Linked DNA regions of Mus musculus. Each later gene encodes a partner of the first gene's protein in a complex. Links are inferred from orthologs where the notes say so. Each region holds a gene or a part of one and is shown on either strand. Other genes may lie near its edges.

What was found.
Region 2: Cdk9 (region 1) and Eaf2 share a complex: the UniProt entries of both Homo sapiens proteins name them as parts of the super elongation complex. The link is inferred for Mus musculus from reciprocal best matches to the Homo sapiens genes CDK9 and EAF2.
Region 3: Cdk9 (region 1) and Eaf1 share a complex: the UniProt entries of both Homo sapiens proteins name them as parts of the super elongation complex. The link is inferred for Mus musculus from reciprocal best matches to the Homo sapiens genes CDK9 and EAF1.

Annotation. Positions count from the first base shown.
Region 1 is NC_000068.7:32,704,623-32,713,697, forward strand, and holds Cdk9 (cyclin-dependent kinase 9), read right to left. Parts: upstream 8,163-9,075; 5' UTR 8,035-8,162; coding exon 7,943-8,034; intron 7,491-7,942; coding exon 7,409-7,490; intron 6,170-7,408; exon of another isoform or gene 5,946-6,169; coding exon 5,855-5,945; intron 5,588-5,854; coding exon 5,421-5,587; intron 5,323-5,420; coding exon 5,151-5,322; intron 4,994-5,150; coding exon 4,845-4,993; intron 3,668-4,844; coding exon 3,302-3,667; 3' UTR 1,160-3,301; downstream 1-1,159. UniProt on the Homo sapiens protein: Protein kinase involved in the regulation of transcription.
Region 2 is NC_000082.6:36,792,779-36,803,102, forward strand, and holds the end of Eaf2 (ELL-associated factor 2), read right to left. Parts: intron 8,067-10,324; coding exon 7,809-8,066; intron 1,149-7,808; coding exon 1,102-1,148; 3' UTR 106-1,101; downstream 1-105. UniProt on the Homo sapiens protein: Acts as a transcriptional transactivator of TCEA1 elongation activity. Acts as a transcriptional transactivator of ELL and ELL2 elongation activities. Potent inducer of apoptosis in prostatic and non-prostatic cell lines.
Region 3 is NC_000080.6:31,491,432-31,502,254, reverse strand, and holds the start of Eaf1 (ELL-associated factor 1), read right to left. Parts: upstream 7,177-10,823; 5' UTR 6,987-7,176; coding exon 6,884-6,986; intron 4,547-6,883; coding exon 4,452-4,546; intron 2,136-4,451; coding exon 1,999-2,135; intron 1-1,998. Other genes in the region: tRNA N(3)-methylcytidine methyltransferase METTL6, read left to right, coding at 7,604-7,607, 8,288-8,658, 9,799-9,933. UniProt on the Homo sapiens protein: Acts as a transcriptional transactivator of ELL and ELL2 elongation activities.

The DNA.
Region 1 (9,075 bases):
CTGAGTTCGAGGCCAGCCTGGTCTACAGAGTGAGCTTCAGAGAAACCCTGTCTTGAAAAAAAAAAAGAGAGAAAAGAAAAAGAAAAAAAAAATGAGTCCAGGCCTTCTTCCCTAGTGTTTCTGACTCAGTCTAATGTGCATCAGACTGGCACACAGGGGTGACAGTGTCTAGGAGCTGGGAACAAGACCCACGTTACAGCTGGGCATCGGGTCTGGATACTGAAGCAAGCCCAGCTCCTTCCTAGAGGGAGGAGTGGGAGGCTTGGAGTCAGCTGCTTCAGGGATTTTTACAGAAACATTAATTTCACGTGTGCAGGTGTCATGTGTGTGTGTGTGTGTGTGTGTGTGTGTGTGTGTGTGTGTATGTGTGTGCTTGCGCATGCGCACCACAGAGCTCCTGTGAAGGTCAGGGTCTCCCACCATACAGGTGGCTGAGCGGGAACTCTGGTCATGAGGCTTTGTCCTTAGGGCACTTTCACCATGGAGCCATTTCAGCAGCCCAGCTCCAGAGTTTTAGGCCGGCTCTGTGGCTTACCACACAGATATAACATCCATTAGGAAACACAGAGGCATGGAAAGTCAGAGCTACGCACTTTCACCAAGTTCTAAAGCTGGCCTTGTGTCCGTTCCAGCCTCACCAGCCTGAGGCCTTTGTCCCCACACCTACCCTTGCGTCCTCAGCTGCTCTGCACATTCCTCATTCTGCATTCTGAGTCCATGACTTTGTAATGAACGTAAATGTTCACACACACGCTTGTGTGTATAATGTTCATGTGTGTGTGCAAGTGTGTGAAAATCAGAGGTTGACTGGTGTCTTCCTCAACTGTTCGTTTTTTCCTTTTTAAGACAGGGCCTCAGCTGGGCAGTGGTGGCACATGCCTTTAATCCCAGCATTTGGGAGACAGAGGCAGGCAGATTTCTGAGCTCGAGGCCAGCCTGGTCTACAGAGTTCCAGGACAGCCAGGGCTATACAGAGAAACCGTCTCAAAACAAACAAACAACAAAAAGACAGGGTCTCACACTGAGCCTACTGACTCAGCCTGACTAGCTGGCCAGAAAGCCAGACCCCTCTCACCTCCTTAGTGCTTCCTTGTGCTTGGACAGCAAGCACTTGACTGACTTGCCATCTCCCCAGGCCTTCACTTTTTTTTTTTTTTTTGAAAGATTTATTTATTATCACACATAGTAAGTACACTGTAGCTGTCTTCAGACATACCAGAGAGGGCATCAGATCTCATTACAGATGGTTGTGAGCCACCATGTGGTTGCTGGAATTTGAACTCAGGACCTCCAGAAGAGCAGTCAGTGCTCTTAGCTGCTGAGCCATCTCTCCAGCCCCAGGCCTTCACTTCTAATGGACTCTACTCCATCAGAGTAATTAATTGGAACCTACTAGAGCCTGAATTCCCAGCCATGAAACTTAACCGGAAAATGGCGACTGGAGAAAGTCCCCTGGGCTATGGTGAAGTCTAAATCCAACAATAAATCTATTATACACAGTGACTTCCAGGAAGCTGCGGAGGGAGTCAGTGAATACAAACCCTGAGACTGGGCGTGGCTCAGTGGTAGAGCACTTACCCGGTTCTGGGTTCAATCTCTAGCAAAGGGCTGAATTCCTTGAATACTTCAGGGGAGATATTCTGAAACAGAACAGCTCTATTAGTTTGTCTTCATGCCACTGAGCATTTGAAACCTGCTGGTAGCCACAAAGACTTTTCTAAGTTCTCGCTATAGCGGGTTGAATAATGTCCTCTCCAATCATGCCCTAAGCACGTGGCCTTACGGGGAGACAGTCTCCGCAGACATAACTGATTAAGATGGGATTATCCCGGGCAGTAAACCCAACGACAGATATCCTCACAGATACATACACAGAAGATGCTGACGGATGGTTTCCAGGACCAAGATTGCTGTGTAAGTGATGGCGCACACCTGTAACCCTAGCTCCCTAAATAAAGGAGGAAGCAGGGAGACCTGCAGTTCTGGACATCCTAGTCTACATGACAGCTTTGTCTCAAAATAAAGGGCTGAGAGATGGCTGCATGGTTAAAAGTTCTAGCTGCAAATCCAGAGGATCCTGGTTCAATTCCCAGCACATACACGGCAGCAGCGCACAACCACCTTTAACTCCAGTTCCAGGGAATCAGCCCTCTTCTGGCCTCCCTGGGTACCAGGAATACATAAGAGCATAAACATGCAAGGAAAAAAGAAAATACAAAATCACAGGCCAAGTACTGTATCAGCTCCCAGAGCTAGCTAGCGGACTAAAACTGTCCTTTTCAGGCAGCTCTGTGAGAAGACTCCAGGAAACTCTTGGGGAATCTACCGCCTAGGTCAGTGCCCTAAGGGTCCCTACCCTGCATCCTTAGGACCATCCCATCTCCACACTGGCCTTCCATCCTGCCCTCACCCCAACCCATGCCACCTGACCCCACTCTGGCCACTTCTGTCCTGCTTCCCCCAAGCCCTGGAGCTACAGGCTACACTTGTCACTCCATGACTGTAAGGCTGCAGTGCCCTGCTTATGAGTCCAGTCTGAGGATTTAGGAGCCAAAGCAGCCCGGGTCCAGCAGCTCACTCCAGCTCAGCTTACAGCACTTGCCAACACCAAGCACAGGACACTGGCACCGTGGACACGCCTTCAGCGGGGGTGAAGAGCGCAGTGGAAGGTACCCAGGAGGAGAAGAGGGCAAACCCTGAACGTCTCCAGAGTGTTGGGTGGTACAGAAGAACTGGCAGTGTCCTGGCTGACCAAACCCTAGCTTCTAGCTGAGACAAGAGCTGAGGGAAGGTCTGAACACAGGAAACGCAGCCATTTACTGGAAAAAAATAACCAACTTTTAATTTAACCAATCAAACTGCGTCCAGGAATGTCTCTAAACTTAACAAAACAAAATAAAATTCTCCTTTTAAAGGAACCAGGAGTTCACACAGCCCCACGCCCCTAAGGTCCAGACCAAAAGTAGCCCATTTTGGAGGCGCCTCTGTCCCTCAAACTCTCATCCAGAGGAAGAGCTGGCGATGGCGAGGGACCTGTGCCTTCCTCCCACCATGCAAGTAGTTCTTAGAAAGTCACAGTGGGTGAGCCTCTCCCACCTCACTTTGTGTCCACGCTGAGACCTCCAGAGAGGGGCAGGCAGGATAGCTCCACCCCAGCCCACTCAGGCAGCTGTTCCCAGTGCCAGGGTGGGAGTTAATATGTACTGGAGGAGAAAATCTCAAATGTCCCATCATGTCACATGTTCCATGCAAAGGAAGCAATCCACTCCTAACCTAAGAACAACACCGGCCAGTTCCGGCCTCAGAAGACACGTTCAAATTCCGTCTGGTTGGTGGTGGCGGGATTTCTGCTCTGGTTGGTGGACTGCTGGGTGATCTGGCTGCCCTTCCGCCGTGGCGGTGCCAGGTACTCAAACATAGACGTCAAGTGAGTAGACAGCATGCCCTTGAGGTCCGAGGGCATGGGGTCCGACCAGAAGAAGTCGTGGTTGAGGGCATCGTCACTGTCAATCCGCTGCGCGGGGTCCAGCACCAGCAGCTTGTCAATGAGGTCCAGAGCATAGGGGTCGCGCACGTAGGCCTTCAGACGGTCCTTCACCTTCCGCTTCTGGCCCTTCACAAGTTCCAGCTTTTCAAACAGCTCATACTTGTCTACGTTTGGCCACACCTAAGAGAGGCGTTGAGGAGAGAACGGAGTTGGAGTAAGACTGCTATCTGAGATGCCAGGGGAGTGGGTTTCTAAAACAATTTCTCTCAGAGGTTCCCTGAGCTCCCCTCCATCGCAGAGATCATGTCTTCAAGTTAAAAGCACCAGTCACCAGATGGAGCACACCCCTAGTGCCCGAACACAAGTCAGCTGCGATAAATGTGCCAGCCCCCATCCAGGCACATTCCCATTTTACAAACAAAAAATAAACAAAACAAACAAACAAAAAACCACACGAGCTGGGCAGTGGTAGCGCACACCTTTAATCCCAGCACTTGGGAGGCAGAGGCAGGCGGATTCCTGAGTTCGAGGTCAGCCTGGTCTACATTGAGTTCCAGGACAGCCAGGGCTATACAGAAACCCTGTCTCGAACGAAATACCAAGAAAAAAAACCCCAATAAAACAAAACAAAACAAAAAAACCAAGAAACTCTGTCTCTAGAAGCTTGTGCTGATGCTTGGTCTCCAGCAGGTGGCGCTATTGGGAGGTGGCAGAAACTTCTGGGAGGAGAGGGGACCACCCAAAGGGGAAGGAACCATGAGGCCTGCTGAATGTGTGCTGAAGCCTCTGGGGTTGAGTGGGCCACCACTGGAGCTACACACTGGACCCTGCTCTTCTGCTCCCTCCCTGCCATGGCCACACCCTCTCTCCAGTGGACTCTCTACTATGACATTTAGCAGCATCTCTGCACCAAAGCAAAGGCTAAACAACCTCTCTGTTTTTCTGAACAAAAGCAACTCTTGGCGCTTTTGTTTTTCTCATGTACTTACTTTGTCTCGGCAACAGAGAGCTCATACAACCAACATTAAGAGTGGTAAGCACCATGCCAGGCGTGGTGGCACACGCCTTTAATCCCAGCACTTGGGAGGCAGAGGCAGGTAGATTTCTGAGTTCGAGGCCAGCCTGGCCTACAGAGTGAGTTCCAGGACAGCCAGGGCTACGCAGAGAAACCCTGTCTCAAAAAACCAAACCAAACCAAACCAAACCAAAAACCCAAACAAACAAACAAACAAACAAACTGAACAGTAAGCCTGGCCTGCAGCAATCAGCTTCCTCTACAGAAGGACTCCACTCTCCACTACTGGCCAGAGGCCCTGGGTCTCTGCATCCCCCAGGAACACCCAGTTCGGTTACTCACCTCTGGGGTGATGGAGCCACAGAGCTGGCTGATGAGGGCGAGCTGGTGCTGCTCTGTGTTACCCTGCATGATAGGGCTACGAGTCCACATCTCTGCCATGATGCACCCAGCACCCCAAAGGTCAATGGGCGGGCCGTAGTCCCGCTCTCCTGAGAAGAAGAGGGTACCGGGAGTGCCTCTTAAGCCCAAGGGCCTCCTGAGACTCCACGTCCCAGAGCTGATGGCTCAAAAGGCCCCAGGCAATGGGGGCTGTGGCCAGGTAGGCACCCGGCCCCTGCCCCCCTCTGCCCGCTCGGGAGTCCTCACCGAGCAGCAGCTCCGGAGGCCGGTACCACAATGTCACCACACGGTTGGTGTATCGGTTGGGCTGGCTATTCTTAGCTAGGCTGAAGGCACGGGCCAGCCCAAAATCTGCCAGCTTCAGGACCCCATCCCGGGTAATGAGCACATTCGCAGCCTTCATGTCCCTGTGCAGGATCTGAAGGGAGGACACACAAGAGCTCAGTCAGGTTTCATAGCATCCTGGAGCCTGGCCTACACAGCAGTCAAGAGCAGAGAAGCCCCATTCTGCCCCACCTTGTTCCTGTGGATGTAGTAGAGGCCGTTCAGCAGCATCTGCATCACTCTCTTGATCTCAGACAACGTGAACTTGACTAAGACGTTGCTCAGCAGCCCAGCAAGGTCATGCTCACAGAAGTCAAACACCAGATAGATGCTGCCCTTGCAGCGGTTATACGGTGAGGCTGATACAGAAGGGGCAGAGAGAAAAATAAAAAATAAAAACCTGCATCCACCTCATTTTCCACAGCCAACTCCCAGCCCTCCAACCCACAGACACCCAACTCCAAACAAGACCAGAGAAGATGGGGGGCCGGCACTCGGGAGGCAGAGGCAGGTGGACCTCTAAGTGTGAGGCCAGCCTGGTCTATGGCGCAAGGTCCAGGACAGCCAGGGTTACACAGAGAAACCTTGTCTCAAACCCCCCTTTTCTCCTGAGGCAAGCAACACACCTTTGGTCCGACAAATCTCAATTAGGTTCACCACATTCTCATGTTTTAGGAGCTGTAGAATCTTGATTTCCCTCAAGGCTGTGATGGGGAACTAGGGAGGAGAAAGAGGAAGTGGTCAAAATTGAGAGCACAACAGACGGAGGAACTGTGGGTGGGGTGGGGGTGTGTTTGGGGTCTATACTGAGGGACAGAGGTTGAAAGACAGGCGAGAGAATCGTTCCTGTGTGATGGTTCCTATCTGGAATCCAATTCTCGTATCAGGAGACAGAGACATCAGAACCACCAAGTTCAAGGCCAGACTGCTTAGTTGAGCTCCTGATTCAAAAAGAAGGGAGAGGGGAAGATATATCTATATTTATCTGTAGCTAGCCTTTGCAAAATATAAAATAAGTGCAAACACACACATATCTCAAGGAGCTGCTAAATGTTGCCATCTAGATAATGGTGGCCTTGAACTTGTTTATGAACCATCTTTTTTCCCCAGTCTCATAAGTGCTGGGATTATAATCACAACCCTTTACTCCAGACTGGGAATTTATTTTAGACAACCCAAATAAGGATAAACATTTTGTCACTAACACTTGTGAGTTAAGATCAAGAAATTTGTGGGGCAGTGGTGGCGCACGCCTTTAATCCCAGCACTTGGGAGGCAGAGGCAGGTGGATTTCTGAGTTCAAGGCCAGCCTAGTCTACAAAGTGAGTTCCAGGTCAGCCAGGGCTACACAGAGAAACCCTGTCTCAAAAAAACCAAAAAGATCAAGAAATTTCCTGGGAATGGAGATAGTTGAATGGTTAAGGAAACTGGCTATGGTCACGTGTGGCAGTCCAGCCCTTTATTTCCAGCAGTCAGGAAACACAGGCAGTTGATCCTCTGTGAGTCTGAGAACAGCCTGGACCAAACAGTGAGTTCCAGGACAGTTGGGGCTACAGAGAGATTTTGTGTCAAACAAAACATAGAGTCCCTGTTTCAGGGAAACACACACACCACAGCACTGGCTATCCTCCCCCAGGACCCAGGTTCAATTCCCAGCACCCACACAGTGGATCTTTTGTCCCAAATGATCCAAGGCAACCTGGCACACCTTTCTGGCTTCCTCAGGTACCCAGGTACTGGAGAATAGTGCTGTACACAGACATGCCAGAAAACAGAAGACCCTATAGACGCAAAGTAAGACAAACAGCATTTTCCTTACAAAGGCAATGCTGCTGAGGCTGATGGAAACAACACCTTTCAGAACATCACCTTAAGCTCAGCGGCCTTTTAAACGGCTTGTGCACAAATGGTCTCTTCATACAAAACAAAATTCAACGCCAAGCTAAGCTGAAAGTTTTCTAGAGTCAACCTGCACTCCATGGGAAAAGCACAGGCTCCCTCCCGTGGCTCCCACAGAACTCTGCCACTAAAGCTCAACAGTGTAAATGGAAAGCCAAATTCCTTGTTCCATGGAAAACCGAAAAACACTAGGTCGAATCTCAGCACAAAACCCTTTGAAGTAGCGGTGTGGAAACCCAGCCAGGTTAGAAGAAGGTCGGCCCAGTGGTCCATATACTCACCCCCTCCTTCTCATTCTCCATCAACACTTTCTTCAGAGCCACCTTCTGGCCCGTCTGACGGTGCTTGGCTTTAAAGACTTCCCTGCAGGCACAGAGAAAGACCCAAGGGACCCATAAGGCATTTCCGCAGGGAGTGCCCCTCCCCCGCGCGAAGGGGAGCAGCAGGAGCCCAGACCCACGGCGGGCGGGGTGCGGCCTCGGATCCGGGACGCGGTCATTCCACACCGCGTGTCTTCCGTCCTCCTCCCGGCCTCTGCTTACTCCTACTCAGCCCCTACTCCTCCCCTAGAGGTGGCCGCTCACATTCGGAGTGGCTCTCAGCAACCCTACCCAACCCCCATCACGGGCCCCAGGCTCCTCCCCGCCAGTCGGCTCGGTTGGGCCGGGAACGTCTGCGCCGCGGCCGAGCAAGACCGGGCAACAGCCACGAAAACAGAAGCTTCCGGACCACCTCGGCCCGGGCTCTGGGCGACCCGACGTCGGCCCTGGAAAGTGCAGGTCCCGGGCTCGCGGTCCCACGCGGCCTAATCTTACCCGAATGTGCCTTGGCCGATCTTGGCAAGTTTCTCGTACTTGGTGACCTCATCGCAGAACGGGCATTCCACCGAGTCGTACTGCTTGGCCATGGCCACCTCCAGCGCGCCTCCGCCGCCGCCGCCGCCGCCGCCCCCAGCCGCAGCTCCCGCCGCTCCCGGTCCCGCCACACTCCAGGCCCCTCCGCGGCCGCGCCACTTCCGCCTCCACGGCCACTTCCGGCCTCGAGGTGCCGAGCCCGCCTCTTCCGGTCTCCGCCCGCCGCCAGGCCCCCTGGGACTTGTAGTTCCCGGGAGGCCAGGGGGAGCCGGAGCTGCAGAGGAGCCTCCGCCGCCGCCACTGCCCCCGCCTCCGCCGCCGCCGCCAGCGCTGTTGGCGGCCCCGATCGGGGGCGCAGGAAGCCGTGGCGCTGGGGCTGGGGCTCGCGGCGGTGCGTCCCGCTGCATTGGCCCGGGCCGTGCTGCTGCCGAAGCTGCTGCCGCTCTGGCTCCCGATCCGGGGCCAGCCGCAGTGCCCTGCTCCTCCTCCTCCGACGGCGCCGCCTCCGCCGGGCTGCGCGGGGCGGCGGGTGGTGGTGGGGGGAAGGCCTGGGGGCGGAGGCTCCCTGGCCAAGCCCGGCCCGGGGCGGCAGGGCAAGGGGGCGAGATAGGCAGAGCAGACGAGGAGGCGGCCCGAAAGCCCGGGAGGGGGCGCGTTATAAAGGGGGAGGTGCCCGTCCTGGCCTCCCCTCCCCCTCCGCCCACCCCCTCCCTCCTCCTCCCACCCTTCGCAGCCGCACCTGCCGCCGCCGCCTCCCGCCCTCCCGCTCCCAGTCCAGCGTCCGCCCTCGGCGCGTCACTGCTCGCAGCCCCTCCTCTGCCTTTGGAGGTGGGGCTCCGCACTAGACACCTGCCTGCGGCTCCCTCCTGCGTGCCTCAGTTTATCCCCCGAATGCCAGCTGCTACAGAATGGCCCTTCTTCCAGGACCGGGAGTGTGCTCCCGGTGAGGCGAAGGCAGGAGGTGCCGTGGGAGCGGCCTTGAGGCCAGGGGAAGAGAGAACTGCCCCCGCTGCCGCCTCCGTCGTCTCAGCCACCCGCCGTTGACATGGCAACTGACGGCCGCCAGGGGGCGCGGCGACACTGTGGGCGGTGAG
Region 2 (10,324 bases), on another chromosome or scaffold:
AATTATTTTCTTGAGATCAAAATGTTATTTAAAGACTCCGAGAGGAGCCCCTCGCTCAGGCCTCAGGACAATAGCGGACACCCAAGAACTCACGATAGACCAAGCTTGTTGCAAACCACATGAGGCTTTATTCAGGGAAAGCCAGAGCTCTGGGGACGACTCATATCCCACACAGGGGTAGAGGAGTTGACCTCGAGAGGAAAGAGTTCCCAGTTTTTATAGGCCCTCAGGGGAGAAAGGAGAAGGGGGAGAGTAGGGGATTTCCAGATCTAAACAATGTCTATTCTCAAGAAATGGGTATGGGACGGGTACAAGGAAAGAGTCTGGGGCAGGTGTAGCAACTCAGGATTGGCTGGGCTGTGGTTGCTGGGGAGATTTTCTGACTCTTTCTCAGCAACCGATATCACAAACACCTGGCAATGGGCTTCATCAGTGGGCACACACATGGGTCAAGGAACGGTCAAAACATTGGCAGACACACAGGTTCGAGGAGTGGCCAGAGCATTGTGCACCTCTATTTTTTAAAATCAGTGAAGCTAGTTCTGCTAACACTGACATCTATCTTGCCAATTTCAGGGCTTCTGTGTCCTTTTACATTCTGTCAGGATCTTTCATTATAAGAGATAACAAAACATCAATTAGGATAATTATTTAACTTCAATTTTATATAAAGTGTAAATTTGGCAGGAATTAAAGTATATTCAGTCATAATTTAAGGCATATCAGATAGGAAAGGCACAACTACAATGAAAACCATAAACTCTTACTATAAATCAATTATTTTAGCATTTCACAATTTGGGGCAACAGTGGACAGAGACTCTGGAATAGTGGATCTGCAGCTCATTTGTTAGCAATTCCTGGGGCAAGTTAAGTTCCCTAATATCTGAATCTGTTTTTCATCTACCAAATGTGATAACATTTTGTTATGACTAAATGAAGATATCACATGAGAATACCAACAAATAGTTGAAAATTCTGAACCAACTTTATTTTTTCAGCAAAAGTTGCACAATTTCCATAAACATAGGAATATTTATTCTCAATACAAAACAGATTCTTACACATCTCACAAATGTTTTCTCTGTAGCTTGATACTGCTTCAGTCCTCACTGTCGCTTTCTGACTCACTCAGCTGCAAGTCACTTCCTAAAATAAAAATAACAAAACTGTTGAACTGTTAATATTTAATAAATCCATTTAGTCTAATATGATTGCTTATAATATAACTCAGCCACATACCATGTACACCAATTAATACTGCATAGAAAGTAAAAGCCACGGCATCAAACTTCAGCATTTCATATCACCCGGCATTTATTTTAGCTTTCTTTCACATACTGATAACATCATTCCCTTTACACTACTCTCTTATTACATCAGACTATCATTTTCAAGAGTGTAAAGTTTATAGTGTGTTTTTACCTTCAGATGCAATCCAAACCATTATGGAAGAGATGTCAAGAACCCTTAGACCAGATGTCACTCAGTGGTAGGATGCCTGACTACCAGGCCCAGGACCCTGTGTTCAATTCCCAGTATCATAAAGACTATCTAGGCACCAAGGGCTTTTGTAAGTCATTTGTATGGTTAGTCATGGAGGCAGCATTTCAGTGGAGCAGAATGACAGGAAACACATATCTAGTCTAATGTCAAGTAGGAGTAAGTCCTGGGGGACTATGGAGAGAGGAGCAGGAGGTACTATTGTATGTACTATAGCTGGGAAAGCTTAATGAGAGGCAACGTTTGAACAGAAAGTCATTAAACAATGGAGGCAGTGTCTCATCTAAGATAAGTGTAAATGCTCTAAGGCAAGTGTAGAGTGGCTGTGATTCTTTTTATTACATATTTTTTGGTAATTTCACACATGAATGCAATGTATTTACATCACATGTACTTCCAACTCACCCCTGCAGCTAACTCTTCCTGGACCCTCTCTCCCTGACACGACATCTTTCTCTAAACTGCATATCTTCTTTCTCTTCTTCATTCTACTCTTTTTTAAAAATAGCCCACTGGCTCCATTTAGCTCTGCCTGAAGGTACCAGGGTGTAGAGCCACCTGCTGAAGCTTGGGTCACACTTCTGAAGAAAGCTCATTTTCCCTCTCTTAGTCTCCATTAGCTGACAAAACACGAGTGGGGGTTATAGGATTTTTTTTCCTTATAGAGAGGCAACGGTGGCCAGAGTGGGAGAAATGAGGGAGACAAAGATGGGGAATGAGGCCAGAAAAAGTAGAGAGGAAGTCTCAGTAAAGACTGTTTGAACACAATGAGAAAGCACTGAACAGTTTTAACAGGAACTAAGTTGAACCTGACTATACCAGTAACTACACTGTAATGGTGTAGAGGAAACATGGAAGCAGGAGAGAAGCTGAGTCTTTTCTCAGTTCTGACCCAGGCATGCCAGCACAAGTATCACTTCCTCCCTGGCATGCCGTGGTTTAAGTGTTAAGGTGTATCTTTATTATTTTCGTTTGCCTATTTTAGCATCTGCAGTAGATTCATGGCAGTCTTCAGTACTGGAAAATTCTAAAGGTTAAGTTTTCACATCATCCCTTCTATTCTTTCTGGGAATTCCCATTATTCAGTGTTTCATCTTTTCCATCTATTCTCCTTCTCTCTTAGTTTTTATTTTACCCTGTGTTCTGGGACAGCACCTTCCATCTCACTAATTTACTTCTCACCCTTGTCAGTCTTGCCTACTTATTGATCTTTTTCAGAACATTCCTAGGACTTGTTCCTCCAAATTTAATCTTTAAACACGAACCTTCCTGTCTGCGCACACGTGTGGAAGCCAGAGGACGGGCTGTTGGTGTCCCTTCTCTCCCACTCCCACGTGAGCTCTGGAGATTGAACTCCACTCAGGAAGTTTGGTGGCAAGCATCTCTACCCACTGAGCCATTGCACTGATGATAATGTTTTTAAGTACGGGAGCTCAGACTCTGGGTCTTGTGTATGGCATGCAAGCACTCTTCTCTCAAAGTACTTGATTCTTATTTATAATATATTGGATTTTGTTTTATTTCTGCTTTCCTTTGTTTTGCTATACATAGCCAGCTTGGTCTACAGAGTAAGTTCCAGGCCAGCCAGAGTTACATAATAAGACTTTGTCTTCTAAAAGGCTATGCCTTCATATATCTTCCTAGGATCACATGGGTTTTTTCTTTATTTCAGAATTATATTTGTCCATTTTGAGGAGGAAGTTCCTCTCTCTGTCTCTTTGTCTGTCTCTTTGTCTGTCTGTCTGTCTGTCTGTCTGTCTGTCTCTCTCTCTCTCTCTCTCTCGCCTTTATAACACTCTTTGCAGGATCTTGTGATTCTGCCCCATTTACCAGAAACAAGTTTTACAATCACCTTTGAAGATTGCTATCTCTTGGAGATATGGTAGGTCCTTCAAGGAGTCAATGAGTAACAATGCTGTATAAACTATGGCTTCTGAAACAGAGCCACAGGAATGGTGTAAGTGGTTGCTTTTCCCCCTAGCCTCCTTTTACTAACTGAAGAACATCCAAGTATCTAGTACTCTTTCCCATCTTCACTTGCCCTCACCATACATTGTCTAGCTTCCCACAGAAAGTATAATTTCCCTGCATCTTATCAAGAAACTTTGTTTGTGTTCATGTGCACATTTGAGTGCATGTGGAAGCCAAGGACAGTTTCAGGCATTGTTCCTGAGTGCTATCCGCCAATGCTTTGGAGACAAGATCTCTCACTATCGTGGAACTCACTAAGTGGGTTTATCTGGCTGGCCAGCAAGCTCTAGGGATTCCCTTGTCTCTGCCTCACCCTACTCAGGTTTTGTTCTTGTTTTTTCTAAACATGGGTTCTAAGGATTGAACTAAAGTATTCCAAGCTCCTTCCTAAGTGAGCTATGTCTTTAGCTTGTACCAAACACTTTGTGTGTGTGTGTGTGTGTGTGTGTGTGTGTGTGTGTGTGTGTGTGTGTGTGCTTGCATGTGTCAAGAAGTCAGAACACAGTCTTGGTTGTTGTTCTTCAGGCCCTAGAATTTGCTAGTTAAGCTAAACTGATCTCCTGGGTTCCTCCAAAAGGCTTGGGTCACATCTCCAGCTCTGCCCTCTGTAGCACTCTAGGCTCTGGCTGACTCCACTCCACTGATCCTGCTGTTCTTGGTGATCATCCTATGGTACTGGCATCTCCAACATACTGTGGTCTTCCTCTGCAACTAGACTTTATCAATAGCAACTCATAGGCTCTCTTCATGGTGACAAGCCTCAGCTTTTTTGCATGACCCCTTCAGTCCTGGGCCATCAACTACAACTGAGACTGCACCTTCACCAATGGCCTTCGAAGGCTTCTTACAGTGCCAAGCCTCAGCTGCTCTCCATACCTTTAAAACTAGTACCATCTGGGTGATTTTACACATTATCAAGTCCAGATGCAGCATGAGGTTCAACCTTGGCTATCTCTGAAACACAGCTTCTTTGTGCTCTCAGAAAATACTTCCCAGATTTCACTTCAGTGATACTGGTCTCTTCTTCTTCTTCTTTTTTTTTTTCCAATTTTTTTTAATTAGGTATTTTCTTCATTTACATTTCAAATGCTAACCTGAGAGTCCCCTATACCCTCCTCTCCTACCTACTCACTCCTATTCCCCTACCTAACCACTCCCACTTCTTGGCCCTGGTGTTCCCCTGTACTGAGGCATATAAAGTTTGCAAGACCAAGGGACCTCTCTTCCCAATGATAGCTAACTAGGCCATCTTCTGCTACATATGCAGCTAGAGACAGGAGCTCTGGGGGTACTGGTTAGTTCATATTGTTGTTCCACCTATGGGGTTGCAGACCCCTTCAGCTCCTTGGGTACTTTCTCTAGCTCCTCCATTGGGGGCCCTGTGTTCCATCCAATAGATGACTGTGAGCATCCACTTCTGTGTTTGCTAGGCACTGGCATAGCCTCACAAGAGACAGCTATATCAGGGTCCTTTCAGCAAAATCTTGCTGGCATATGCAATAGTGTCTGCATTTGGTGGTTGATTATGGGATGGATTCCTGGGTGGGGCAGTCTCTGGATGGTCCATCCTTTTGTCGCAGCTCCAAACTTTGTCTCTGTAACTCCTTCCAGGGGTGTTTTGTTCCCAATTCTAAGAAAGGGCAAAGTGTCCACACATTGGTCTTCTTTCTTCTTGAGTTTCATGTGTTTTGCAAATTTTATCTTGGTTATTCTAAGTTTCTGGGCTAATATCCACTTATCAGTAAGTGCATATCATGTGAGTTTTTTTTTTGATTGGGTTACCTCACTCAGGATGATACCCTCCTGATCCATCCACTTGCCTAGGAATTTCATAAATTCATTGTTTTTAATTGCTGAGTAGTACTACATTGTGTAAATGTACCACATTTTCTGTATCCATTTCTCTGTTGAGGGACATCTGGGTTCTTTCCAGCTTCTGGCTATTATAAATAAGGCTGCTATGAACATAGTGGAACATGTGTTCTTATTACCAGTTGGATCATCTTCTGGATATATATCCAGGAGAGGTATTGCTGGATCTTCCAGTAGTACTATGTCAAATTTTCTGAGGAACCACGAGACTGATTTCCAGAGTGGTTGTACAAGCTTGCAATCGATACTGGTCTCTTCTTAATCACTGCTAATTTATTAGTTCCAGAAAATCAGCATCAATTGTCCCAGGAATCTCTTCTATTTTTGACTCTACAGGGAGAGTCACACGGACAAAGCTGCTGAGTTCTGCTGCTTAGTGGGGCTGGAACATGTGCCCTTCTTCTATTACATCATCACCAGCTTTCTGTTTTCTAATTCTTTCACTTCCTAAGCTTAGCTGTTCTGGAACTTGCTCTGTAGATTGACCTTGAACTCAGAGATCTGCATGCCTATCTCCTAAATACTAGGATTAAAGGTGTGGTTCTTTCTTTCTTTCTTTCTTTCTTTCTTTCTTTCTTTCTTTCTTTCTTTCTTTCTTTCTTTTTTTCTTTCTAACTTTTCTCTACTTAGAATCTTCTGTATCCCAGGCTGACCTTGAACTCAGAGAACGGCTTGCCTCTGTCTACTGGAATTAAAGTCGCATACCACCTTACCTGAACCTAAGCTTTTCATGGCCGCTATGCCTCAAGATTCAGGTCAAAAGCCTGTGTCTTTCATTTCTGAATTGTAGTTCATTCCAGATTAAAAGTCCAAGTGAAAACAATAACCAAGTAATAATAGTGGCTAACATGATATAACTATTCCTTGTTCAATGGTAAATGCATAAATAACAAGTTTAGCTGGGTGGAATCTTGCCAGAAGTCACCACTCCCTTAATCTGTTTACCTCCTTGAACACAGGATTCAGCTCCATTTCACTTCCTGGTGCCCGTTTATTACTTGAGCCACACATTTTATATTTTTCCTTTCTAAGTCTGCTTTGCTTCTTCAAAATGTTCTTCATGAATGGAATGAACTACAATTGGGGCGGGCTAACAGGTTCAGAGGTTCAGTGCATTATCATCAAGGTGGGAGCATGACAGTGTCCAGGCAGGCATGGTGCAGGAGCTGAGAGTTCTACATCTTGTTCCAAAAGCAAACAGAAAACTAGCTTCCAGGCAGCTAGTACAAGGGTATTAAAGCCCATGCCCACAGTAACACACCCAATCCAACAAAGCCACATCTACGCCAACAAGGCCATACCACCAAACAGTGCCAGTCCCTGGATCATACATATTCAAACAGCCACACTAAGAAAATAAATAGTAAATAAAGCAATATAATTTTGTTAAGGTCTACTCTCTATTGTAAAAGGAATTGCAAACTTTGAAAAGTATAAATCAAGAGAGGTGATAAATTAAATTATAATCACTAAAAGATCATTATCGCTAATAATATACATAGTTGATGAAAATTTCCTTGACTGTATATACACAAGACTTGCCTAAGATCAAGCCAGTCAAAACTTCAACATGAATGTGCAAGGACCTCACAAAACTCCACCCTAAGATGAAGAGCTATTGGCAGTTGGAGGCTTCTATGGAAGGAAAGTTCAGCTATCTTCAGAGATGCAGCCCTAGAAGATTGACCTTGTTTCAGTGAATGGACCTACAGTGATGTTCATACACATACTGGCAACATCAAGTGGACATAGCAGTTAAGGGAAAGGGAGAACATGAAGTTGGGAGGAAGTCCTGGTATTGATGGTTGGGGAAATCAAGAAAATGAGCTGAACTACAGTGGTAGTCATAAAGATAAAAAGAAGTAGATGGATTTAAAAGATATTTAGGAAGTAGAAGTCAAAAGGACTTGATGAAATATTGAGTATACAAAAAGGTAAGAGAGTAACTCAATCCTGGAATACAATCAGGCTTCTGGTTTACATAATGACACAAACGCTGCCATTCACTAGGCAAATAGACAGTGAGCCAAAAAATATAGTGTTGTTTTTTGTACAGCATTTGTACAGTATTTGAAGTGCCTTTTACTAAGAGGTGAAGCTAGACCTATCTGCCCAGGACTCAGAGGTCTGCATGGAGATTGGTATTTGAAAGTTCTCTCTAGATAGATAGATGGGTAGATAGATAGATAGATAGATAGATAGATAGATAAATAGATAGAAACAGGAGCATGAGGAGGTTATCTAAGAAAAAGAAGAAGATAGAATAAAAAGAAAAGGGCCCATGGAAAAGCTTCGAGGAGCCCTCACTCCAGTGACAGAGTACATTTTAAACTTGCAAAGGAGAAAAAAATTGGCTAATGATTACAAAATACATAAATTAAGATTCTTCTTTAAATTTTAGTGCACAATAAACATGGCTACAATGCAAGTCCTGTTTTAGTTCTTATGGCTATGCATACTTACGTAAAGTACTCATCAGAAGGGTACTGTGGTCCTGAAGTCGGTGACAAGTAGCATCAGCCTCTGAAGTCCTGTACTGTGGCCCAGCAGACATGCTAGGGTGCTCCGAGCTGTATTTCCTTGGACCCAAAGGAGAGAATTGGTCATCATCTTCAGAATCACTAGAACTATCCTCACTACTTGAAGATGAAGAACTTTTGGAATCTGATGAACTATCACAACTACTCATCTGGTCCATAAGACTAGCTTCTGCTTTCAGTTCTGAAAATAGAAATAATAAAGTCAAATAAATAACAAGAAGAAACACAATAACATAAATGCATTAGGTTTTTAAGATAAGGAATAAATAAAACTAAAACACATATTCCAGCATCTAAACCATTTATTTTAGAAATTCCTGTAGTGCACTGTCCAAGAAACTTTCTAAACATCCAGCCTGCTGCTGTTGCCCTTGGTTATCACCACAGGTGGAAGGTGGGTCCCTATCGCTAAAGACACCATGTATTTCAATAACAGGGTGCAGAGACCCTTTTGCTGGAACTGACCCACAAGCCCTCTCCTTGAGGATTACCTTTCATGGTACCAGAAGGTGACATTTGGAAGCTTCAATGGAGAGAGGCAACCAACTGTCTCACCCAGCTATCGTGCCCATGGACCCCATCAATTGTCACAATAACACAACATAGTAGTAGTGGTACATACACCTTGGTGGTAACCAGCAGACTCATGACTCACACAGCCAGAAAGATTATACTAGGTACCAGAAACTTAGGTAACTTCTCAGTGTTAGTGAAGTCATGGTTATTAGGGGAGAATCTACAACCACTAATTTACTAAAAGACCAGAATTATCCCTAATAATAACACTCTATAAACATTTGTCCTTACAGCCACAGATAAGTGTAGTCTTCGTCCCTCCATCCAGGAAATTTCTTTTTGCAATAGACAGAGAGCAAAACAGAAAACCACAACCAATCAAAATTCTGAGTTGTAGAGCCCAGTCCCAACAGATATACCTACAAAACCTATCTGCACCCAAGGCTCAGGAAACATTTGGGAGGAGGGAACGAAAAGATTGTATGACTCCCAGATCTTACAATGTTACAAATAGATCAGGGAGTTGGCTGTGAGATTGTGTCTCCTGCTGACATCAGAAGCTATACCCACAGAGTCTATTGCCCAAGCGTTACCTAAACAAGGATGATACAAATGAGCATACCAAACCGGATATCGAAAAACCTATGAAGCCTCAACTCTACACAAAAAGCTATTAGCCAACTGAGGGAAGCTGAGAACAAGAGAAATACTCTTCCCCAGGGAAGAGCACACCAATTGGCTGTCCAGTGCTAAATGATCAGCCCTGAAAACATGCAGAAACACACAGACAGACAGACAGACAGACAGGCAGGCAGACAGACAAGCACACAGCAATATGTGGACTAAACAGGTTATATTTGGTAATGTATATGTATTTACATGCATATATGCATGCAATATAATATATTATATTATACTATATATAATATAATATATTATTATATATTATATATAATATGTAATAATAATATATGCATGCAATAGCAATTAGTGAACAAAAGAGGCCATGAACTTAAAGGAGAATGGAAAAGGGTATATATAGGAGTTTTTGCAGGTACGAAAGGAAAGCGAGATATGTTTTAATTAAAATAAAAAAAAATAAATTAAAAGCCCCTCCTTTGGCACCAAGCTGGATTTTAATAACAGGAGTATGAGACTAAAAGCATAGGTAACCAGTTGGGTATGGCATCATAATTTGTAATCCTAGCATTCAGGAGGCTGAGACTGGAGAATATCAAGTTCAAAGAGCTATACAGTGAGACTTTTCCTCAAAAAGAGGGAGAAGCTCAGCTATTAAGAGCACTAGCTGTTCTTCCGGAGGACTAGAGAGTGATTCCCAGCACCCGCGTGGTGGTTCACAACATCCATGACCCAGGGGATATGATGCCCTCTTCTGGCCTCCAAGGGTACTGCATGTATGTGGTACCAGTTTTATACATATATATGAATGTATATGCAATATACTCATTAGCATAATAAGTAAAGTCTCAAAAACAGGGCACAAATAATATCTAAATTTAATTTGATATGTATAATAAATATATAATAAATAATGAAAAATTTAAAAGTGTAAAAATACAAAATGCATTATTAGTTTTTTTCCTTAGTCCTTAGTATGCACTGTGCAGTGTCATACCTATGGACTTCATTCTTTTTCCAGCTGGTCTAGAGAAAGCTTTGATGACTCATGTCTTTTGGGTTTTGTTTTTGCTTTGTGACCTACCAGGGTTTAACTAGATCTACTCTCATGGGCATGGGTGTGAAGCTACCCACTTGAAGATGAGCAGGTCATCAATGACAATCACTGAAGACAATGCCCTCTCCTCCGGTAGCCTATGAATTCCTCATACATGACTGAACGCTTATTGTATGTCTGTCTTGCACATGCCCTTGTAGGCAGCTACAACCGTTGTGAGTTCACAA
Region 3 (10,823 bases), on another chromosome or scaffold:
GACATCACATCAAGAGGCAAAGCAGTATTGCTCAGGATGACCAAGCACACAGGCAGCGTTTGCAGAACCAATGTTCTTTCCAGGTGACTGAAAATCTAATTGTTTAATTTCACCACAAGAATGCACTCAATGTCCATATGTCTACTGCATCCCAGAACTGAACTATGCATCAGTGATGCAGAGTTGGTGAAATGACTCTGCTTGCAAGGCGCTCACCCTAGAATTCAAGATCCTTTAGCTGCAGCCTTCCAAGAGCTAAGATTTCAGATGTGCCACATCTAAGCTCAGCAAGGAGATAAAACAATGTGATCAAGCATTTTTACAGACTTAAATTCAATATAAAGTTGTAATAATAAATATACAAGTTTCTGGATAAACTGGATTATGAATTAGCCTAATGTTTCTTAGCTAAGCATCTACACAAATTCCCTAGACGTCTCTGCAGGTCTGACCTAGTAAGTCTTGAGATTCTGTGAGCACAACAAATACCCTAGAGGTATGGTGATAGTCCCCAATCACAGAGTAGATAGAGGACGGAGCACCAATGGGTATTCCAGGAGTAGCACATTTAAAACAGACCTTGATACAAACCAACAAAGGAAAGGACAGAAAGGGGTACCATGGGCACTTCGCCTGAGGTGAGGGCTTAGATCTCGAAGTCAAATTAGATAAATCACAACTTCTGTAACCCCCAGTCTCCAAAAGAATAGCACTTTTCTACGACTACTGGAAAAGATTAGGTGTGTTACACCTAAAACATACTGGCCCACGATAATCTCAATAAATGGGGGCTGTTTCCTTTTCTAGAGAAATGAGGGAAAGAAAAACAGAAACAGACATCAAGCTGCAATAGTCTCTTAAAATCTAATTAGTGTTCTGTGAGAAGGAGGGGGAGGGGAGGACTGAGAGGAGAGGAGGGAGGGGAACTGTGACTGGGATGTAAAAAAAAAATATACACACACACACACACACACATATATATATATATTTTAATGAAGAAAACCCCCTCTCTTTAGTGGACTTGTGATTTTGCTCAGTGGTGAGGGCACTCGCCTATCATGTGCAAAGCTCTCTCTCTGCATTTGATGCCTAGTGCCCTCCCCGACAAAAACCTTAATCATTATCTTACAATAATTATTGTATTCCAGTTATAGAATATATTGACTTTCAAATAAACTCTAATATTGAATGAACCCAAAAGTTCACTATTTTAAAAGTAGGAAAGGTTTTTTTTTGGTTATTGTTTTTAAGTTTTTAAAATTATAGTTGTATTTATGCTAGGTCTTCTACCACGTGAGTCCTGAAGACTGAACTCAAGTCATTAGACTTGGTGGCAAACGCCTTTATTCACTTAGCAATCTTGCAAGACCACTGTTATTTGTTTTTGTTTTGACACAGGGTCTCCTGCAATTCAGACCAGCTTCAAAGTCACTCTGCAGCTGTAGAGGGCCTTGAACTCTTGATCCTGGTGCGCCAACTCTCCAGTACTGCACTTACAGTAGGACCCACCATACATAGTAGACGACGTTTCATTTTGATAGTATAGGCACATCAAATATATCCTAATTTACAAGCAGTAATTTAATAAGGTCATGCAATTATTATTTTGTATTTTTCAGTCTATACATATAAACTGAATCCCCTACTTGATAGTATAAGAGCAGTTATGAGTCTGACAAAATTGGCTCAATTATAAATACCCTGTTCTCCCCAAAGGCTTCATGTTTTAGCTTTCAAAAGCATTATTTCTTTTTACTGTATTTGAAAAAAATGTACATTTTATTATTGATGTATCTGAGACAGGAGTGGCTAATATTACTGATTGAACACTAATGAGCAAGGAGATGTTCACACTCTTATAAAACTGGACTGAATGCCATAAAGATTTCGAAACACTTAAGGCTATTCTTTAGGAGAACGGGCACCTGCCAGCACAGGAGACCCCGGTTTCAATCCCTACAGTACAAGAGGAAGGGAGAACGCGGAGGTTGGCCATACCTTGTCTTCTTGACCTGAATGCTGCTGCTCAGCTTCTCCAGCACATACTCTCCAGTGTCGTGGTTAATAATGAGCACACAGTCTTTCTGATAGGGCCGCTTGTTCCCTTTGAACACCGTCATTGGCGGCGTGGACCCCTGTTTGCCACAAAAGTATAAGATAAATACACCAATTACGAACGGTCCCCTAATCCATCATCAGACCTGCGCAGAAGGGGCAGATGACTGATCTCTGTCTGACTCCCCCAGCTTTCCAGGCAAAAGAAAGGAGCAGTTATAGTAAGCACCTGGTTTTAGGGATTCAAGAAATAGAACATAAAAACTTTAAGCTACTAGGCAACTCTTTACTAATGTGGGCAAATAGTTCAAAGAACAGCAATGCCCAAACTGAGGACAATTCACCTTGCCCTACACTACACAGAGCTATTACTAACTGGTTAGAGGAGGGAGTGATCTTTGTATTTCTTTGTAATGGAAGAGCCCAGGGCTTCCCCTTCATGCAAATAACCCAGGCAGCTTTCTCCAAGGGTGGCCAGCCCTTCAGCTGAGTGAGTGGAGCCCATGTTACTTAGCCATCACCCCAAGCCTTTCAATGGCTCCCATGCTGCTCGCAAGGCAAAGGATAATGAATTTAAGGCAGGGCCTGACCCCACCACCCATCTCTGGGCTCTGAGGTCTTTAGGAAGTAAGAGGCTCTTTTTCCTGCTTCAGGGCTGAAACTGGCCTTCTGCCTGCTATATTTTGACACTATGTAAATTACTCGATCTTCTGTTAAGTTCAAATAACTCTTCTCTGGTTTTCCACAAGTGTTTATTTTGGTTTGGTTTTGAAACAGGGTCTCACGTAGCCCATGCTAGCCTTATACTCTCAACCACCTTGCTTCCACCTCTCAAAGGCTAGGATTACAGGAAAGCATCGTATCCAGCAGCTACTATATATTCCTATATTTAAATTCCAGACCCTAAGCTGCACAACATCAGGAAATGTACTCATTTGGTTTAAAGTTAATTCTTAGAGCCCACTAATGGGCTCCTACACTGGACACTGATTTAATATTTGTTAAATATAAGATTTAACTTGTTGTTCAGAATTTATAGAAGCACAAAACAAAACAACAGCAAACTAAATTGCTTGGCTCTTCAGCCCCTTAACTGCACAGTAGAAACTTAAGTCTGAAGGGTGCATAGGGACCATGTACCTAACCCCTTCATTTTTCACTTGGGAAACTCAGGTCCAATGGGAGATGATGTAATCTTCCATGGGCAACATGTAATGAAACAGGAGTTCAGATGAAAAGGCTGTTCCCTCTGCTCCAGGGCTTCCAGGTTTGCTGCAGTCTGCACTCTGTCACCAGTTACAGAACTTGCTGTGTCTGAGGACAGAGCCGTGACACGTACTAAGGAGCTTTTCTAGTCTAACTGTTTTCTGTTTATTTCTTCTGTGTGTGTGTGCATGTACACGTGTTTTCTCGTGTTTTCTGTGTGTGGGCAGAAATAGGTACAGGTGCATGTGTGTATCTACATGCACCTAAAAGCCCAAAGCTGACATCAGGCTCCCTCCTCAATCACTCTCCACTTTTCTTTTTTGAGGCAGGTTCTTTTGCTCAATCCAACTAAGTCTAGCTAGACAGCTTGCCCAGGGGATACCATGTCCTTATCTGTGACTGTGGGCTCACAGCAGCTGCCATGTCTGCCATGGTTTTTACATGGGTTCTGAGGCACCCAAACTCCAGTCCTCCTGCTTGAGTACTTCATTTCCTCAAGCCATCTCCCCAGCCCAAGGTGTCGTGAACGCAAACACAGGTCTCCCTTCTGTTTTCCTTTGGCTGAACTGGGAATTGACCCTAAGACCTCATGCGTGCAAGGCAAGACCTCTATCACTGAGCTACCACCCCAGACTCACAGTGCTGCCCTGAAGAGAGCCTTACAGTACAAAGTCTTTTCTTCCAAGTCTTTGGTGCAGCTTTTAACTGAGTTCTTCACCCCTAAATTAGCTGAGTGTTCCAAACTTTGGTTCCTGCCTAGGACCATCAGCCTGCACCGGATCCCTTACTAAATATAGAGATGTCACTCTGGCTCCTGGCCTGCCTTCTGGCTGTTCTATGTTCAGGAGCTGCTATTGCTATGCAGGGCACATAGGGCCCTTTTCTCCAGAACTGCTTGGGATAAGTGTTATATATGTCTAGCAAAGGGGCCACTGTCTAGACGGAACCTTGCCTACTATACTATATATTGGACAGAGATGGGGAGTAAAGACTAGAGACAAAGAACTACCTAAACCAAGTCCCAAGACGCATGAGTAAGAACCCATCTGACTCCTAAATTCCTTTTTTACTTACGTTAGCTCTCTAAACATTTAAAATAAATAAATAAATAAATAAATAAATAGAAGGAAATTTGAACTGTAAATAAAACACAAGGTCGTTACATTAGATCAACATTGGAAACAACTTACAGGGATGTGTGGCAGCGTAATGGTGACTTCATCTCCTTTGCCAACCTGGAGTTCTCCTTCACAGGAAGTGTCTATTGATGCTGGCTTAAAATCGTCTAAAAGGAAACAATGGATATTTCCCACTGGGTGGCTGAAAATGAAGACTTCTTGGGCATTTTAATTTCAGATTAAATAAAAGCAGTTGAGAATGCCTTTATGTGCCTGTATATGCACAGGTACATGTGTACAAATATCTGCAGGTACCTATGGAAGACAGCTTTAGATAATCTCTTAAGTACTATTTGTCTTGGTTTTTTTGACCAGGGTCTCTCATTAGCCTGGAACTCACTGAACAGGCAAGGCCAGCTGGCCGGTGGGTCCCCAGTAATCCTTCTGTCTCAATATTTCTGGCACTGAGATAGGAACTGTTTATCCTGTGGCTCCTTTATGTGGATTCCAACCCGGATATTCATATTTTCATATCAAGTACTTCACAGACTGAACCAACTCCCCAGCCCTCTCATTTACAATTCTAAAAGACTTTGTCATAGAAAACTTCATATGCTTCATTCACGGTAATAATGAGCCCCAAATGCTCTCACCCAATAGTTATCAACTCAGAAACACCTCTATATACGCTGCCTTCAACTATACCATCATTTAGTACAGGGAGCTGAAACTTATATACTCTCTGAAACTTACACTCTCTTATGTTAATGTAAGACAATCCCTTCTTCCAAGTGTCAGGCACACAATTAACATCTCACCATCCATAATAAGGTAATACCAGAACTGTGTATATAAAAACTGTGTGTATAAAAGCAACACAGCAAACATTCTTTTTTTGGGGGGGGGGGGAGGAGGGTTCGAGACAGGGATTTCTCTGTATAGCCCTGGCTGTCCTGGAACTCATAGACCAGGCTGACCTCGAACTTAGAAATCTGCCTGCCTCTGCCTCCCAAGTGCTGGGATGGCGTGCAACACCTCTGCCTGCTTTCAGCAGACATTCTTAACTATAAATCCTACATAAGACACAGCAGGCCACATGAGGTTGGCCTCTTTTTGCACAGAAATGTTCTAAAATAGAACATGCCACATTCAAGTTCTCATTTTGGTGGGGGAAAAAAGTCTGGCTATGTTCAGAAGCAGACTGGCGAACTCCAGAAATTACCCTGCTTATTCTTGCAAATTACACTTACACAATAGGAACAGCCATTTTACTTCGCACCTGACTCAAACTGCAGGCCAGGAGCACATGTGCAGAATTGCACTTAAACTTACACTGCTCTTCTGTGGAGGAACAAATTAGTCAACTGGGAAATGACAATCTTATCGTTTCCCCAGTACTGTCTCTCTGCAACAGCTGAGTCTGCTGTGGGTGCAAAGCACAGATGCAGCTATGTGACAAGAGGCCACACAGAGATGGGACTTTAATATCTAACACACCCCCCTGCCTGTGTGTTGAGTCACATCGATTAGCTCCCATGACAAAGCAGGTCTTAACCCACACTAACGCTACCGGAAACCCGACGCCTGTGATTCACAGGGATGTGCTTGGTTTGGTCAGCCATGTCCTGACTCAGGACACACAGTGGCAATACCCCTTTCAGAGTCTATAATCACGTAGGAAAGGGCCCAACATAATGACTCTTTCCACATTCCTTATGCTGCCTTCTTCATTTTCCAAACATAGATCAGGCTTTAATTTATGCCAGATGCACAAACTCTAATTTTATTCTTCACCCACAAGTGAGTTGGCCCAGAAGTTAAGGTGAAGTAGGTGACATTAATCTAGCTAGGTATGGTGGATCAGGTCCATATTTTCAGCACCACAGAAGCTGAGGTAGGAGGACTGCAGCATGTTCAGCGCTGGCCTGAATTATATAGTAATTTCTAGGCCAGCATCACTAGTAAGACTGTCTCGAACAGCAACAACAACAAAATCAGTGTCATAAGCAGAGAGGAAGAAGAAACCTTATGGGTGGCACGAAGAATGCAGGTTCCCTGGCTGTGGAGGAGACCAAGAGCAAGGGGAAAGGAGCAAGGGAAGGAATGAAGTAAACGACACTCGTAGCAAACGGAAGACTTTTCCAGGGCAAGAGCCCTGATGGAAGAATTCGACAAAGAGAACGGGGACACAAGGGAGGAGAAATGGGCATCGCTACTAAAGGAGAAAAGTTTGGCTTAAGGGCTGGGAAGGGGAATTTGAAATAAAGGGGCTATGACTTTCTGAAGTGGTATTTGAGACTGTAAAGTAAAAGAATAGTTGGCAGCAATCAGAGGTTTGGTTTGGGAGAAGAGATTTCAAAGTAAAAGAGCAGATCGAAGTTCCAGAGGCTAAGGGATGAGAGGTAAGGAAAGCGACGCTTTCGAGCCGGGATTAGCCAGGGGAGTCTGGGCTTGCACGTGGCGGCCAGGGAGCCCCAAGTGAACCTGGAGGGGCGCTCACTCACAGCGAATCGTGTGGAAGGAGGCCCGCGGCCGCTTCTCGAAGCTTTCCCCTAGCCGCAGACAGTGTTCCTCCCGGTCCAGCAGCGGGTTCGCCGTGCCGTTCATGGCCTTGCACTTGCCCGGCACCCGGATTGGAGCTCTCCTCGCGCGGCCGCAGTCCCCCCGGATCCCCGCGCAAGCGGCCCGCAGGACCGCGCTCCCGGGACACCGCTCCGGAGCGCGCACTGAACCAAGTCCGCGCCCACCCGGGGCCGGAAACCAATCTACTCCGCGTCTCGAGAGACTCTGCGGAAGTAAGGCCGCTGCACTTCCGGCATTGGGGAGGGACTTCCGTCTCCCCAACGGAAATAGCGGGGGCAGTGCCATGGAGAGAGAGTTCTCCGGGACTGCTGCAGCCCACAGTTTTCTGGTCTAAGGAGGAGCCCAGGTCAGCTAGAAGATTCTGCTGCCGACGCCTGGGCTTGACTGACGGGTGAGTGCGCCCTGACCTGTTCTTTGCTGGGGACCCTGGGAGCTCAGAGCGTGGGGAACTGAGTGGACGCGAGTTTGAATGTAGGTATGAGTGTCCCTGGACATGCCCGAGACCCTAGCGGCCTGCTTTATCCGAGGGTTCAGAGAGCGATGACGGTTCTCGGGACCTCAGTCACCCTTCCCCCTACTTCGCTCCATGGTTGCGATGAGAGGATTTCAGTTCTCCTGGCCGACGACGCTTCCTTCAGTTTATGGGTACGATCAGAAACCCCGGCCTCTCCGGATCAGCTCCGTCACCTCCTTAGCCCCCCCGCGATCCCGTGTCTGTTAGGCAATCGTCTACCCGCTTTCGGTTAGGGCGGTTGTTGCCGTTGTTTTGAAGTCACGTTTCCCACGGGCACTGAACGTTGATGAGAATTTTTTTTTCTCACATTTTCTCAGTCAACTCGTGGATGCGTCCCTTTGCCCTAAGTAAACCTATTTCTTGTAGTACTTGGCTCATCTGATTTGAATTGGGAGTCCGGTCCGTGAGAGTTCTGGTCTCTGAGTGTAGTAAGCTCTATGCAGTAGAGACTGTCTTGGTCTTTATGACCTCTCCAGACCCCGGCAGGGTGTTGGGCAGAGTCAGCATCTCGGGAGTGTTAAGTGAATTGACCCCGGAGCCTTAAAGAGCCCTCCGGGAACCTCTCCCCGAGTCTTGGACTCGTTTAGAATCCAAGCTCTAGAAATAATAAAGAACGATCTAGCTTGATGAGGCCCTGGTCACCCGAGTTGGGAGGATGAGGCAAGAGGAAGTACATTCAAGGGACAGGCTGGGCTTCAGGGACAGCCCCTGGCTCAGATGAACAGGATGGGGAGAGAAGCAGGCAGGTTGTTAGAGAATCACTAGTCAGAATCAATCAGTCAACCCCCTCCCCCCCTTTCTCTTTCCTAAGTAGCATCGTATCCTGTTGGAGCTGGAAAGTCACCTGGGGAAACTGCATCAGAGAAACTCCAGTGTCTACAATCTCAGCATCGTTTGTTCAGATGGTTGAAGAACAGAGGACCTATAGCAGCATTGAATGTGTTTCCGGCAACTACAATGGCTTCTTTCCAAAGGAAAGGACTGCAAGCAAGGATTCTTAGCACTGAAGAAGAGGAGAAACTGAAAAGAGACCAAGCTTTGGTGTCTGCTTTTAAACAGCAAAAACTGGAAAAAGAGGCTCAGAAGAACTGGGACCTTTTTTATAAAAGAAACAGTACCAATTTTTTCAAGGACAGACACTGGACCACCAGAGAGTTTGAGGAGTTGAGATCATGTAGGGAGGTAGGCTGGGGTTTCTCCTGGCTCGAGCCATCTTCATTTATGATGCCTAGAAGAGAGGTCCTTTGTTACATGTAGAGAGTGCTCCCAGATGGCACCCTTAGGTGCCGTTTCTCAGGAGCTGTCTTGTTTTTTGAAACAGGGTCTCTCAGTAGACTTGGGGCACACAGATTAGCTTGGGCTAGATAGCCAGTAATCCCCAGGGAGCCTTCCTAGAATGAGATTCCAACTGTGCGGCACCACGTCCAGTTTTTTACCTGAGTGCTAGTGGTTGTGTGGCAAGCACTTTACTGACTGAGCTACCCTAAAGAAAATTAGGACGTCTGTCAGAATGTACCTATGGAGAGTTCTGATTTGTTTCAAGTATGTTTAGCAATGTCTGGGCTGTTTAATAGAAAACAGAGCTTTAAGGTTTTCTTTTTAGATTTGTTTATTTTATTATGCATATGGGTGTTTTGCTTGCATGTATATCTATGTACCATATGCATGTCTAGTGTCTGTGGAAGTCAGAAGAGGGTGTCAGGGCCACCAGAACTGGAATTACAGGCAGTTGTAGGTGGCCATATGAATGCAGGGAATTGAACATGTGTTCTCCTAACCACTGAGCCGTCTCTCCAGCCCCCTAATGCTTTCTGCTTAGTTAAAGCTGATGTGAAGGTTAGAAATAGTAAATATTCAGACTACACTTTAGTGACAGATTGAAGCTGCTTGGTAGTTAATGAACATTTGCTGTACTGTTTTCTAAGAATTTTGCATCTGTTCCCTTAGTTAAGCTTCATAGCAACTCTCTGAAGTGCATTCGTGTTGTTCCTGTTTGCAGGAAAAACGATTGAGGCACAGAGCTATAGAAGTGAGTTGCCCGAGGATGGAATCCAGGGGCAAAAGAGGAGTTGGGATTTGAGGAGGAGGTTAGCCCAGAGTGTATGCACTGTGCTGTGGCTGCCTTATTTTTCACACTGAACTAACTGCCCATTGTCGAATGATTATAAATGAGGTGCCAGTGTTTAACTTTTTCTCACTAGCTCTGTTGTTTAGTATCTGCCTCTTGAGGTCAGAGACATCTCGTGCCTACTGAACATTTTAGCTTGGTATGTTTATTATGCAAACGCAATGTGTTATAACTTCTGTGTTCTCATTCCTCAGTATGAAGGTCAAAAATTGACTTTGTTGGAGGCTGGCTGTGGGGTTGGGAACTGTTTATTCCCACTTTTAGAAGAAGACTTGAATCTCTTTGCCTATGCCTGTGATTTTTCTCCAAGGGCAGTTGACTACGTGAAGGTTGGTGCACCGTATATGTATTCCGCTGCTTGTTTCCTTATGCCTTTGTCTAGTCGTGTCCTCATCCAGGAGCTCACCAGCCATGAGCACCACGGAAGCCGTTTTCTGTTGCCTGTGCACGTGAAAATATTTGATTCAAAGCAAAGCAGAGATACTACTAAACAGTCTCTGTGCTTGATTCATATGGCTTACTTTGTAGGTTGGTGTCTGATTGCGTGCCCTTTTAAGATAGGTTACTGTGACCAGGATTGTATACATGCTTCACAAAACTCACAGGCACAGTCCTCTGTGATGAGTAATGGAGGAAACAGAATCCCTTAGAAAGAAGGATGTGGCTGTGCAGTGGTGGTGCACACCTTTAATCCCAGCACTTGGGAGGCAGAGGCAAGCAGATTTCTGAGTTCCAGGCCAGCCTGGTCTATGGAGTGAGTTCCAGGACAGGCAGGGCTACACAGAGAAACCCTGTCTCAACCCCCCCCCCCCCAAAAAATAGAGATGTGAATGTTTACGTTTTAATAGATAATGCTACATTTCCTTTCAAAAGACCATGCCGGTTTTTAGTTTTACCAATAATTGTTTCCTCGGGTTTATTTTTCTTTTCTTTCACCAATCTAAGAAAAAAAAGTCTGAGCATTTTATTTTTCTCATTACTAGAGATATTGAAGACTAAAATTCGTAAATACACATACCTTTTTTTTTCTACCATTACCTCCTTTCTTCTCCGTGTGTTTAGTGAGAGCTTACTGTGTGCTAGTTGTAAGAATTAATCTGTGCATAACTTTTGCCTATTTTTCTGTTCTTATTTTAGAATATAGTAAGGATGTTTGTTAATCATGCATATGTTACAAGCATCTCTTTTTTTCCTTTTCAATATTATTAATTGTAGCCCT